Linked DNA regions of Sus scrofa. The protein of the gene in region 2 interacts with the protein of the main gene of each other region in a biochemical or structural test. Links are inferred from orthologs where the notes say so. Each region holds a gene or a part of one and is shown on either strand. Other genes may lie near its edges. The genes, in order: ITGB1, TLN1 and ITGB3.

Region 1 (4,403 bases), on a different chromosome or scaffold from region 2:
GTTAGTTCTCAGGGGCACAATGAAGTGATTCAGTTATGTTACATGTTAAATATATGTTCTTTCTTGGATTCTTTTCCGTTATAGGTAGGTTACTACAAGTTATTGAATATAGCTCCCTGTGCTATAAGTAGGAAAATTGTTGTTCATCTGTTTTGTATATAGTAGTATGTACATATTAATCCCCAACTCCTAATTTATCCCTTCCCCCACCCTTAACTATAGGATTATTTTCTGAGTCTGGTTTGTTTTGAAACCAAGTCCATTTGTATCCTCTTTCAGATTACACAAATAGGGAAACATGATTTAGTCCGTTAACTTTGGTCATCTATTAAACGGGAAAAATCATTCCCATTTCTTTAGAGGTTCCCAGAGATTACCTAACCAACAGATTTGATTTTGCTGGTAAGCAATGAACAAAGTTTCCATAGATGGGATTGTGTGAGCTTCTTTTAAGGTTGGCAGCTAAATGGGCATCGCGGCTTCTAATCTCCCCCAAATGAAACACTACTTCTCCATTTCACAAATCTCATAATTCGAGTTCTATTCCCAACAGGGTGCTCCAGCTCACCACGTGGCGAAGCACATTTTCTGCTAACAGGATGGCAGCCTGCCAGCAGCATAGTCAAAGTGACTGGGTTTCAGTATGATGCCGGTTGGCACAGGTTTCATTCCTCTGATTAAGAAGTGCCCAGCCTTGCTCATAATGAAATGTTTCTCTTCTCGTGTTTTAAACGTCCCTTCTTCTGCAGCCCCCCAGCCCACCTACTAAAAAAACTGAGGATAAACGGAAACCGTATCAAGGAGGAAACTTCCTTCTCATCCGCGTTCCCCATAAACGGACGTCCAGATTAACCTAACAAAAGCTGCTCTCCAATTTACTTTTTCTCTAAAACTTTTCTCTTTCTGGGTCCCCATCTCCTCCCTAAGTCTCCCCCTTTCTCAAAGACGTAAGTCAGGCAAATCCTCACGCCAGAAAAATACTGGCTTTAGCTCCTTCCCTTCCAAAAGGAAAACGTCTTGGGCCCCAGGAAGCCCTGCAAGGTGCGTGATTAAGTGTCTTGATTTGCGGGAGTCTCCGGCGGCTCCCTGGAGGCAAGGCTTCCAAGGTTCAAAACCAGGCAGTCCCGGGCAGGACAGACGTGCGGCCTTAGGAAAGCAGCACCTAAGACAAGGCAGGAAGAAGGCTCCAGAACTTCTCACGGGAGGAGATTAAGGCGCGCTGGGCGGCGCAGACCCTTCCTCCCTGGGCAGCTAAGGAAACTGAGGCACGGCGAACGCTGCGGCAGAGACCCCCACCACCGGCGCCCGGCAGGCCCGCTCCTTTGTCCCAGCGGCCGCCCTCCCCGCCCCTCCTCCACCTCCCACCCCGCGTCCCTCCCCCACCCCCGCCGCGCGGGCGCGGCTGACGCCGCCCGGCAGGAATGCGCTTCCGGAGGGAGAGGGCGGCGGCGGCGGCCTGAGGAGCTGGATTGCCGCGCGGAGGAGGCGGTGCCGCGGGGGTCGTTTCCTGCCAGGAGGCGGCCCCGCGTCGCCGAGTCTCCTCCTCCCGCCCGCGAAGGAGGAGGAGCTGCCGCCGCCGCGCCCGCGCCGCAGCCGGGGAGGCCACGCCAGCCCTCGGACAGGCCGAGCGGGAGTCGCGGAGCGCTGGTGGAGCCGACCGCGCGGGCCGGGCGCCGCGGGAGAAGGTGGGCGCGGGCGGGCGGCGGGCTGGGTGCGCTGCCGGCCCGGGGCCCCGGGGCGCGCGTGGGGGCCGCGGCCTGGGGGCGGATTCCAGCCGTCGGGCGGGGGAGGAAGTCGGGCCGCGCCCGCTCCCGGCTTCGCTCTCCGACTGTCCGGCCGGGGGAGGTGGAGGGTGCGGGCCGGCCCAGGACGCTGTCCGCGGGAGGCCGCGCTTGCGGAGGCCCGGGGCCAGGATCCGCCGCTCGGACACCCGCTGTGGGCGCCACCCCGCCGGCTGGGCGCCGACAGGCCTTCGCGGGCCGGCGTCCTGGGAGCGGCCTCGGCCCCGCCGCCTTACGCGGCGGGTCGCGCGGGTGCCGGGCCTCCGCGCGGGGACAGCTCCGCCTCGGCTCCAGCTCTCCGGCGTTGCTCGGAGAAGGGGCGCGGGGTCGGGCGTCCTGTGGGCCCCTTTCCCCCCGAGGCTGGTTGTGGGCGGCGGTGCGAAGGGCTAACCCCAGCCGCTGCCTGATTCGTGCGGTTGCTTAGGCTTCATAACAAGTCGTATTTTTAAGAATGCCAGTATTTAATGCCCAAGTAATTCTTGTTTTATCGGATGTGTGTTTTGGATCAAAATCTAGCGCTGGTTGGTTTGGTCCCTAGTAAATTAGACTCTTTAAGGTTCCATTTCCTCTGCTGTAAAATGGGAGCAATACCGACACTAATAAGAAAACGTAATTGTTATAATAACGGCATAAGTGAGGGCCATGCTTAGCTCTACACACTTCACCTGTATTTTCTCGTTTAACCCTGGATCTGAGCCGACCAGGTATATGCTGTTTTTATCCCTGTTTTCCAATTGAAACCGACACACCAGGAGCCTGGGTGATCATCCAGCTGTAGTGAGGAGAACCCATGGGGTCTAGCAGACGTTGTTTGAACCACAAGTAACCTTGCATAAGTACCGTGTAGTGAAAAGCTAATGGAAAATGGAAAACACTTAGCTTAGAGTAGATGCTCAATAAATATCAACTCCTTTTCGTTCCTTCTTGTTTTTTTTTTTTTTTAAAGTATGCCTGTAGTTGATAGCATCATTAGTAAGGCGTTTTGGAGTCTGCGTTCCACATAAATATTTAGGGGAGTAGAGTTACTGGAATGTTATTTTTTATTGTTTTGGTGGTACAAAAATAACCAATGCTAAATGTTTTGATGAGGCATCTTTCTTCAACTGCATGCAGCCTTTCCAACAGGTTGCATAAATAGACCACTTGAGAAATGATTAAGGGATTTTAGTTGCAAGTTACCTATTCTAAGTCTGTGAATATCAAGGCCATAGGGAGGGTCAGGGCTTATTTAAGAGTCCTACTGTAATGTTCATATTTGAAAATAATTTTAGTCCCTTGTTTAATAATAAATGAGTGAAGAGGATTAATAAATAGAAAACACGTGAAACAAATCAGTGTTCTGGTTATAGATGTCTGAGGAGACAAGACATTTTACTCACCCTAAAATTCAGTATAAAATGGAAGATGTTAGAATGCTAGTTTAAAAGATAGGGGATGTGGTTAATACTTTACTTCTGTAAATAGAAAACAAACTCCAAATCAAGTCATCTGTGTTGAGGTCACAGACCTAAACATTTAAGCTTTTGTAATGTTGATTCCTTTTAGAAGAATGTTAAAAAATACTCTATATTAAGATTGTTTTATAATCCCGTCAACATCCTGCATGTGAAAAGAATCGAATCAGCAATACTGAAAATCACTGGATTCAGGTGGCTTTTTCCTCAGTTTTCTGGTCGGTATAATTAAAAGCTGCCCCAAATTAGCATCACATGTATTTCTTTAATGGGGTGGATGAATTCCTAACTCCTGGAGGGACTCTGGGGCTGTAAATAGTGAAAATCAGTTTAAGGTGGTGCTAGTTTTCATGGAATGATGGCCACTTAGTAGCTTTATTGTTTGGTTTCTTGCCAAATTGTGGCTTCTATCATCAAGGGGTAATATTCTATCTGAAGGAAATATATGTTTTTAATTATTTCACAAGGACACTGGTTTGTTCTCTGCTGGAATGATGAGAGGACACATCTCTCTGGTAAAAGTTTCAGAACTTTTGAGTTCTGAGAATGGACATTTCTGAATGTGTAAGAAATTGAATTAGTTATCTGAGAGGATTCATAGGGACTGATTGCCCCACTCTGGATGGAGAGGTAGGATCTGTCTGGTTGTGAGTAGATTCCTAGAAGATCATATTGTGCACGTAGGTAAATGTCTTGTTGTATTAGCAGGTCTACTCTGACTGTGATGTGTTGTGGGGTTTTTGTCCTTTTATATTGTTGCACAGGTGGGGGTATTGGGGTAGGGAGGATGCGCCGACAGGCGTGAGAGTAGGGAAGAGTATATTAGTCTTTAGAACCTGAAATGATAGCAGCATCTATAGCTGTAGAAAACTGCATACATTAAGAGTATGTATCTAGGCTAAAGGAAGTGCAATCCCTATAAACCCCAGCCTTAGAATATTTCAATAGATGAGTGAAAAAATGTAGTATATCTTTTTCAGAAGATGTATGCAAAAGGAGCCAAGCTATACTTTGTGAATTTCTCATCTTTTTTTAAGACTAATTATCTTACACAGAGTTAAGTTTTATATATAAAATAAAAGTCAACTGCCTTAAAGCTGTATTTTTGGTTTGTGGCTTTAGAAGACAAGGTTAACTGTATCTAGCATGGTGCTGAAGCATGTGTATA
Region 2 (3,646 bases):
AGTTCTCCCTTCACACCGCCTCACCTCAGGGCTGATCTGCGCAGGAACGCTGGAGAACTCAGGGTTGGATGCAAAGGCGCTGAGATTGTCCACAGCCTCCAGCAGAGGGGCCGTTGCTGCTCGGCACTGGGCACGGTTCTCCTCTGTGAAGGCCCCGTCTAGTGCCTGCAGTGGGAGTGACAGGGGGGCCCTCAGGACAGACAGTAGGCAGAGGCGGTGAGGCCCGGGTCTCCCTCCAGGTTTTAACGAGTGTGGGGAGAGGCTGGTGATGACCAGCGTGGACAGGAAAGGCCTTGGGCTCAGGCGGGTGGGTTTGGCAAAAGGCCTCAGGGAATGACATCGGGTCCAGGGAGGGAAGCCTGGCCAGGTCAGGGACAGGCTGAGAATTCAAACACGGAACCTTGATGGTCTTGACAAGATTGGCTGTGCTGTTGGCCACCTCCTTGGCCGATTGTACGAATTGGCGCTTGGCAGTAGGATTGGCGGTACGAGCAGAAGCCAGGCGGCAGCTGTTACACAGAGCGGAGGTGTGTTTGGCCACAATGGTGGCTGCAGAGAGCACCTGAGGAGACAGAAACGGGGAAGAGCCATGATGAGGGCGGGAGGGAAGTGCCCACCCCAGGGAGGGGCCCCTTTAGCTTGGGGGGATGGAGAGCAATACCTTCGGAGTCTAATTAGGAAAGACAGAGTCACCAGAAAAGTCAAGATCTGGAAGGCAGAAGACGTATGGATGAACAGGGTGTGGGGGAAGGAAGATGAAAAGCTGACACGCTAATGGAGAAATCCTAACAGGCTCGGGAGGAGAGTGAGCTCAGACGTCCACAGGGAAGGGCCGAACCCGGCAGGAACCGAAGGGACAGTGAGAAACATGAGGAGACAATTAGCCAGAGAAGCTGCATGTGGAAAGTCAGAGGTGGGGCTCTGCCCTCTCCTTCCCTACGTGTCCTGCAGCAACCCGCGCCCCCCAAGGGGCTGGGCCGTCCTGGCTCGGCAGCCTTTCCCAGACTTGCCCACAGTACCTGTCCCCTTGGGTTACCTGGGCCTGGGTGCAGCCAGGCTCCCCCAAACTCTGACAGGCCATCTGAATTGCCTGGTTTGCTCGGGCAAACTGCGTGGGCTCCACCAGCCCTTGCTGTCCAGCTTGGCTGTTGGGGTCAGAGACACCAACCAGATAGGCAGCCTGGGGAGAGAGAAGAGGTGGGGTGAGGAGTAAGGCATAGTCCTCAGGTGGGACTTGAACAGCGACAGTGGGGACAAAGGGGAGTGGGGACAAGTTTAGTGGCCAGGGTTCTATGTGAGTGGAGGTATAGCAACAAGCTATACTTGCATTTCAAAAAAGAAAAAAACCTCTCCTGCTTTGTTAAATATGGTAACATTTCAGAAGATTAAAAAAGTTTTTTTTTTTGTGTGGTTTTTTTTTTGTCTTTTTGCCTTTTCCAGGGCTGCTCCCACGGCATATAGAGGTTCCCAGGCTAGGGGTTCAGTCAGAGGGGTAGCTGCCAGCCTACTCCAGAGCCACAGCAATGCAGGATCCAAGCCACGTCTGCAACCTACACTACAGCTCACGGTAACACCGAATCCTTAACCCACTGAGCAAGGCCAGGGATCGAACCCACAACCTCATGGTTCCTAGTCGGAACCACTGAGACATGAAGGGAACTCCAGTTTTTTTTTTGTTTTTTAAAAAGGAAAGTCACATAGTAAGGTTTTTATCAAAATTCTATTTAGGTGTGCATGTGTATGTATGCTGAGTCTTAAGGTGAAAAATACTGCTTACTGCAAGGGGCAGGGAAAAAAGTTCGAAAGCCCCTCCCCCCGCCCAAGTCTCTTTTAGAGACAGTTCTCAAACCACGGAGAGTGTTAGGCTAATTAACATTTACCGTAACTCCAAGGTTCAGAGATTTGGAAGGAGGGGAGGGATGGGTATAAGAGTCGCCAAAATAATTCTTGACTGGAAGATGATTAAAGGTTTGATTCTTACTTCACCCAACACATGGTAGCTTTGCTTTTTCCTCTTCATGCTTTTCCAGAAATAAGTCAAACCAAATAAGGAGGCCCACCCAACAGCCCAGGGCAGAGGGAGGCAGGGGAGGTTGGAAGAGCAGGATGACAGGCTCTCAGGGAAACAGTCTAGCTGATGAACTCTCAAGCCAGTTTAGGAATTCATATATTAAGGGAGTTCCCGTCGTGGCGCAGCAGAAACAAATCCGACTAGGAACCATGAGGTTGTGGGTTCGATCCCTGGCCTCGCTCAGTGGGTTAAGGATCCAGCATTGCCATGAGCTGTGGTATAGGTCGCAGACATGGCTCAGATCCAGCGTTGCTGTGGCTGTGGTGTGGGCCGGCGCTACAGCTCCGATTCCACCCCTAGCCTGGAAACCTCCATATGCTGCGGGTGCAGCCCTGAAAAGACCAAAAAAAAAAAATTCATATATCAATATAAAATACTCTCAGCACTAATAGATTATTTCATACCGTAGTGTAGAAAAAGGCAAAATTAAGTGGTGACTCAACTAACCAGGAATTTGGTCTCCGGTACCAAGTATTAATTACATGAAGTGATTTGCATATGCGCATCAGCACACACTAAGGAGGCCAGGGCTGGAGAAGGCCCAGTTGTGGGAGTGTGTGATCATAACCCAAAGCTCTGGGGCTCAGGGTTGATGGCGGGCCGAACTGATGGTGTTCTATGACTGCTGACAGATCTCTCTCCTTCAGGAGCGGAGAAGAACCCTGGTTACCCCAGAGTGGGCTTTGCAAGCGGAACTTTGGGCTTTCTGTGTGTGTGTGTGTGTGTGTGTGCGTGTGTGGAGGGGCAGGGAAGGCAGGAACTTTGGGCTTTCTGTGTGTGTGTGTGTGTGTGTGTGTGTGTGTGTGTGTGTGTGGAGGGGCAGGGAAGGCAGGAACTTTGGGCTTTCTGTCTGTGTGTGTGTGTGTGTGTGTGTGTGTGTGTGTGTGGAGGGGCAGGGAAGGCAGGAGCATTCCGGGGGCCCCTCCCAGGAGAATAACCTGTGCAGCAGCCTCGGTGAAGCCACAAAGGGCCTTGGAGGCTGTGGCGATGGCCTCTCCAAACTCCGGCAGGTTTCCGTTCTTGGCATTTTGGGAGATGCCAGTCATGGCCTCACCCAGTACCTGAGGGACAGAGGGTATCAGGAGAGTCAGATCCTGTCCTCTGAGGGGCAGAGCAGCCCCCCTGGTGAGTTCCATCTTCCTGCCATCTGCTCTCCTGGGTTCCTGGCTGGGCTTACCTTTGAGTTTTCCATGACACTGTCCAGGCAGCCAAAGTAGGACATGTCATTGATGGGCTGGACTGGGTTTTCTAGGAGTTCCCGGACCGTCTGTGGAGGGGGAGGGGGAGGTGAGATCCAAGACACCCTGTCACCCCCGAACCCAGAACACTTTCCTCAACCGCAACCCCATCTGGGCCTCCAGGGCCCACCTCCAGTTCCCGCAGGGCATTGTCACACTCTTTCTGGCCTGGCGCCTGCTGGGTACACATAGTGATGAGCTGGTTGATACTGTCGGTCACAGCCCTGGAGGAACAGAAAGCGGAATGGATGGGTGCACAGGTCATCATTTCTGTGTCTTGTACATGAGGGATGTCTCTAGCTATTTCTCTTTTGTCTGTAAGCACCCCTAAGCCAGG
Region 3 (3,646 bases), on a different chromosome or scaffold from region 2:
CCACACAGTAGCCAACCACAGGTTCGGGGTCTACTGTTCAATTGCCACATTAACATTTCATCGCTTGTGCAATCGAATAACATTTCATCGCTTGTGCAATCGAATACATTTCAGGCCACTATCTCTTGCTAGGGTGAGTGCACACGTACCTAGAATGTATAGACGGAAGGATGGATAGATGATGACAGAAATATAGACAGAGATGATATAAATCATATAACTATAGATAGCCCCCTTTTTTCTTCCCACTCCCTTCACCATCCCCTCTCCTCTAAGGCAGGAGCAGAAGAAAACCAACCACTAAGAAAGGAAAGCCACAGAGGGACTGGACATTTGTATTCTGATATTCCATGAAGGTGGGTATTTTTGCCTATTCCATTTGCTGCCAAATCATCAGCAGCTAGAACAATGCCTGGCACAAAGTCGGTGCTCACTAAGTATTTAGAGGACCCTGTCATTTTATGCTGTGAAGCAAAGAAATATACTGCAGGGGGTGCAGTGCTGGAGACTGGTTGCAGGGTGAAAGTAAGAAATATTTTCATTTGCAATCAATGGTGCATAAATAGAGGTAATGTAAACACAAGTTTTTCAAAATCCTGAAGTTACTTAATGATAGAGAAGAATTAGGCAATAGAAGCCTCAGAGGAGAAGGCTGGCAGCTTTACCACATCTAACTTGTAAGGATGTCCAGGAAGAAGGTACAGGGAAGGAATGGGTGGGTACCCATGGACACTCCAGGGCACAGGGAGGGTTAAAGCTGCAGCTTTAGCCCCCACCCAGCCCACCTCACCGTGTCTCCAATCTTGAGTCCAACACAAGACTTAAGGCCTGGGATGACCTCGTTGTTGAGACAGGTGGCATTGAAGGATAACGACAGCTCCTCAGGGAGGTCACGCACTTCGAGCTCCACTTTAGAGCGGATTTTCTGATCAGAAAAGGGCAAGAGAAGATAAGAAAATGGGCTGAGATGAAATGAGTAGGAGCCAATTCCATCTCAAGCAAAACCTGCCAGGTGGTCCTAGACTCACCTGTCACGCCCGGTGCTGAGGTTCACCTAGAAGCTGCCAGAGCTTCCCTGGGACCCTATTTCCTGCTCTATTTCCTGCCCAGGACCTGCTCTTTCTCCACTTGTGTCTAGATGAATCTGGGTAAAATCTAAAGCAGCTATGCCCTCCTGCAGGCCTCAGGGTCATGCAAGACTGGAGTGCTAACACTGGTCACCTTGGAAAGTAGCACTTTCTACATAATTTTTAATCGACCTCGCATTCCCCGTGGTTCAGCTGCCTTCTTTCTCTATTGCTGGAGCCCAGCTCTCCCTCACTCTGTACCTCACCTGCCCCATCCACTTTCCCTTCCACCTTCCCTAAGCCCTTCCTCCTTTGTTCCGAAGGCTCCCTGGCACTCCTTTCTGAGCCGTTTCTGTCTCAGAAGGCTGCCTTCCTCCCAGTGCTGGTTATCACATGGCCTCTAGAAGAACAAAAGGAAGGCAGGGAAGGCTGCGTGGTGGACTCTCAAATCTGAGCCCTCCAGGGTAACACCAAGTAAAAAGGACTCTTAGCAGGCCTATTCCTGGCATAAGACACTTACGCCATAAGCATCCACAATGAGCTGGAGGACATTGCTGGAATTGGAGGACAGCACCCCCACTGTGGTCCCTGGGATCAGTTCACTGTAGTTCTAGAAAGGAAGACAAAGATGTCCGGGGATGACGGATGAAGGTAGTGGTCTCCAAAAGCCCTCCCCAAATCAGACTGAGGGTCTTGAAATGAAAATTGAGGAAAAGGGAGGATGTTTTACTTGTCACTGCTAGGAATAAATCTAGCAGTTTTTCAGCCCTGAGAAAAATTACAGAGAACCTCTCTCTCACACACATACACACACACTCTCACCCACCCACCAAATTACTTCCCTCCACCACTGCAAACAGCAATACCCCCACCCTGCTAGGTTCAAGGTTCGAGAAGAGAGGCCACCAGGAGGAATTATCAGCTCCTGGATCTTTTCTGGTTGGGTACCATGGCCGAAGCTACTGTGAACTGGTTCCCTGAGACAGGTCCACCCATCACAGGCCCCACTCCCGCTCCAGGAGGGCAAAGTCACCTGGTAAAGACTAACTACACCTTCTGTCACTGCAAAGATCAAATTGATGTTTTTCTGGGATAGCTTCTCAGTTATCAGCCCCAGAGAGGGATAATCCTGTAAAAAGGGAGGGTGTGGAGGTTAGTTAAGACGTCTCTTCACATACATCCCTGAATTCTTAGGTCTTAGCTAATATGAGCTGTGGCTCAGACCATGGTAAGGCTTAAACTTGTTCACCCATAATCAGCGTGACGCAAACACAAAGTAAGTAAGTTGTGAACTCCAGAGATAAATGAAGAGGTACAGGCTGGTGGTGCCAAAACTAAGCACCTTCTTCTTACTTGAATTTGATGCATTCACACCAAGAGCAGCTTCTGTGGGCCAGGTGCTGCCAGGCCACATTGTTTTGAAGCTTCCTTCTGTTTTGCAGCTACTGACAAATTCCCTGGCTTGGTGCTCGCAATCCTCTGTCATGCGATCTCAACCTTCCTTTCCAATCATTCACCTCTCTCCCCCTTCCACTTACCACTCAGCTGGCCCACTTTCATCCTCCCACCTGGAGTGGGCTTTTTGCTAATCTTCCTCCTTCCTTAGGACCCAGCTCAGGTCCCACCTTCTCCAGGAGGCCTTCCCAGTTCCATCCCAGTTCATGATGAGCTTTCCTCCTTAAAATACCTAAAGCCCTTACTAACTTCTCTACCCAGTTAGCATTAACCATGCATCTTGTGTTACTGGTACCACATCTTGTGTTACTGGTACCACATCTCAACTAAACCAAAAACTCTCTAAGGCTGGGAACCTTATATAGTGTCTTTATCTGCCTCATCCCCTGGCAAGGCCCTGCATAGACAAGGTGTCAATGATTATGGACTCATCCATTGCCTAGTTGTACTCAACTTGGATATGGCTGACACCAAGGAACTCAAGCCACAGTGGGAATGCTGGTGAACTGTGAACATGTCCCTAAGATCCTGGACCTTGTAGGGGACTCATGAGATCATCCAGCTCAGACTCCTGCCTTTACACAGGTGTACCTTTAAGCTACCTAGATGAAGTAGCTGCTACACTGTCTTTAAAAGACAAAGTGATAGGGATGGAGTAGGCACAGGTGGTTGTAGAAGTCCCAATAGGGGATCGCAGATAAAGAGGGAAACCTGGGGGATGCTGGGAGACCACTATAAGTTCAAGAAAGCCACCAGAACAAGGCAGGCTTGCTTGACTAGTGGAGGTGCAAGAATTGCCTCAGGTCGTTGGGTGGGGGAGGGATGAGGCCTGCATTCTGATTCAAACCAAGGGCAAGAGTTTGAGGACCGCCCTTCAGCTGATTTGAATACACACCTTACTGGATACTAAGGAGGAGCTACTACTCCCAACAAGGAAGAGGTGGGCCTTTCCAACACCCCACTCCCCTTGGATTATAAAACTGCAACCCATGAGATCCTGGGGGCAGAGCTTCCTTGCCTACCTGCATGCATCTCTTACAAGTATCCTATCTTAAAAAATCTGTTTCTTGCCTATCACTTTGTCTCTTGCTGAATTCCTTCTGCACTGAGGCATAAAGAACCTG

What was found.
Region 1: the proteins of TLN1 (region 2) and ITGB1 form a complex in vitro, tested with the Homo sapiens proteins (3 studies listed by BioGRID and IntAct, with this or other methods). The link is inferred for Sus scrofa from reciprocal best matches to the Homo sapiens genes TLN1 and ITGB1.
Region 3: the proteins of TLN1 (region 2) and ITGB3 form a complex in vitro, tested with the Homo sapiens proteins (6 studies listed by BioGRID and IntAct, with this or other methods). The link is inferred for Sus scrofa from reciprocal best matches to the Homo sapiens genes TLN1 and ITGB3.

What each region holds. Positions count from the first base shown.
Region 1 is NC_010452.4:56,127,651-56,132,053, reverse strand, and holds the start of ITGB1 (integrin beta-1), read left to right. Parts: upstream 1-1,542; 5' UTR 1,543-1,685; intron 1,686-4,403.
Region 2 is NC_010443.5:236,426,772-236,430,417, forward strand, and holds part of TLN1 (talin-1), read right to left. Parts: intron 3,534-3,646; coding exon 3,440-3,533; intron 3,339-3,439; coding exon 3,249-3,338; intron 3,133-3,248; coding exon 3,010-3,132; intron 1,181-3,009; coding exon 1,037-1,180; intron 563-1,036; coding exon 401-562; intron 166-400; coding exon 25-165; intron 1-24. UniProt on the Homo sapiens protein: High molecular weight cytoskeletal protein concentrated at regions of cell-matrix and cell-cell contacts. Involved in connections of major cytoskeletal structures to the plasma membrane.
Region 3 is NC_010454.4:16,714,166-16,717,811, forward strand, and holds part of ITGB3 (integrin beta-3 precursor), read right to left. Parts: intron 2,197-3,646; coding exon 2,101-2,196; intron 1,678-2,100; coding exon 1,588-1,677; intron 926-1,587; coding exon 791-925; intron 1-790. UniProt on the Homo sapiens protein: Integrin alpha-V/beta-3 (ITGAV:ITGB3) is a receptor for cytotactin, fibronectin, laminin, matrix metalloproteinase-2, osteopontin, osteomodulin, prothrombin, thrombospondin, vitronectin and von Willebrand factor.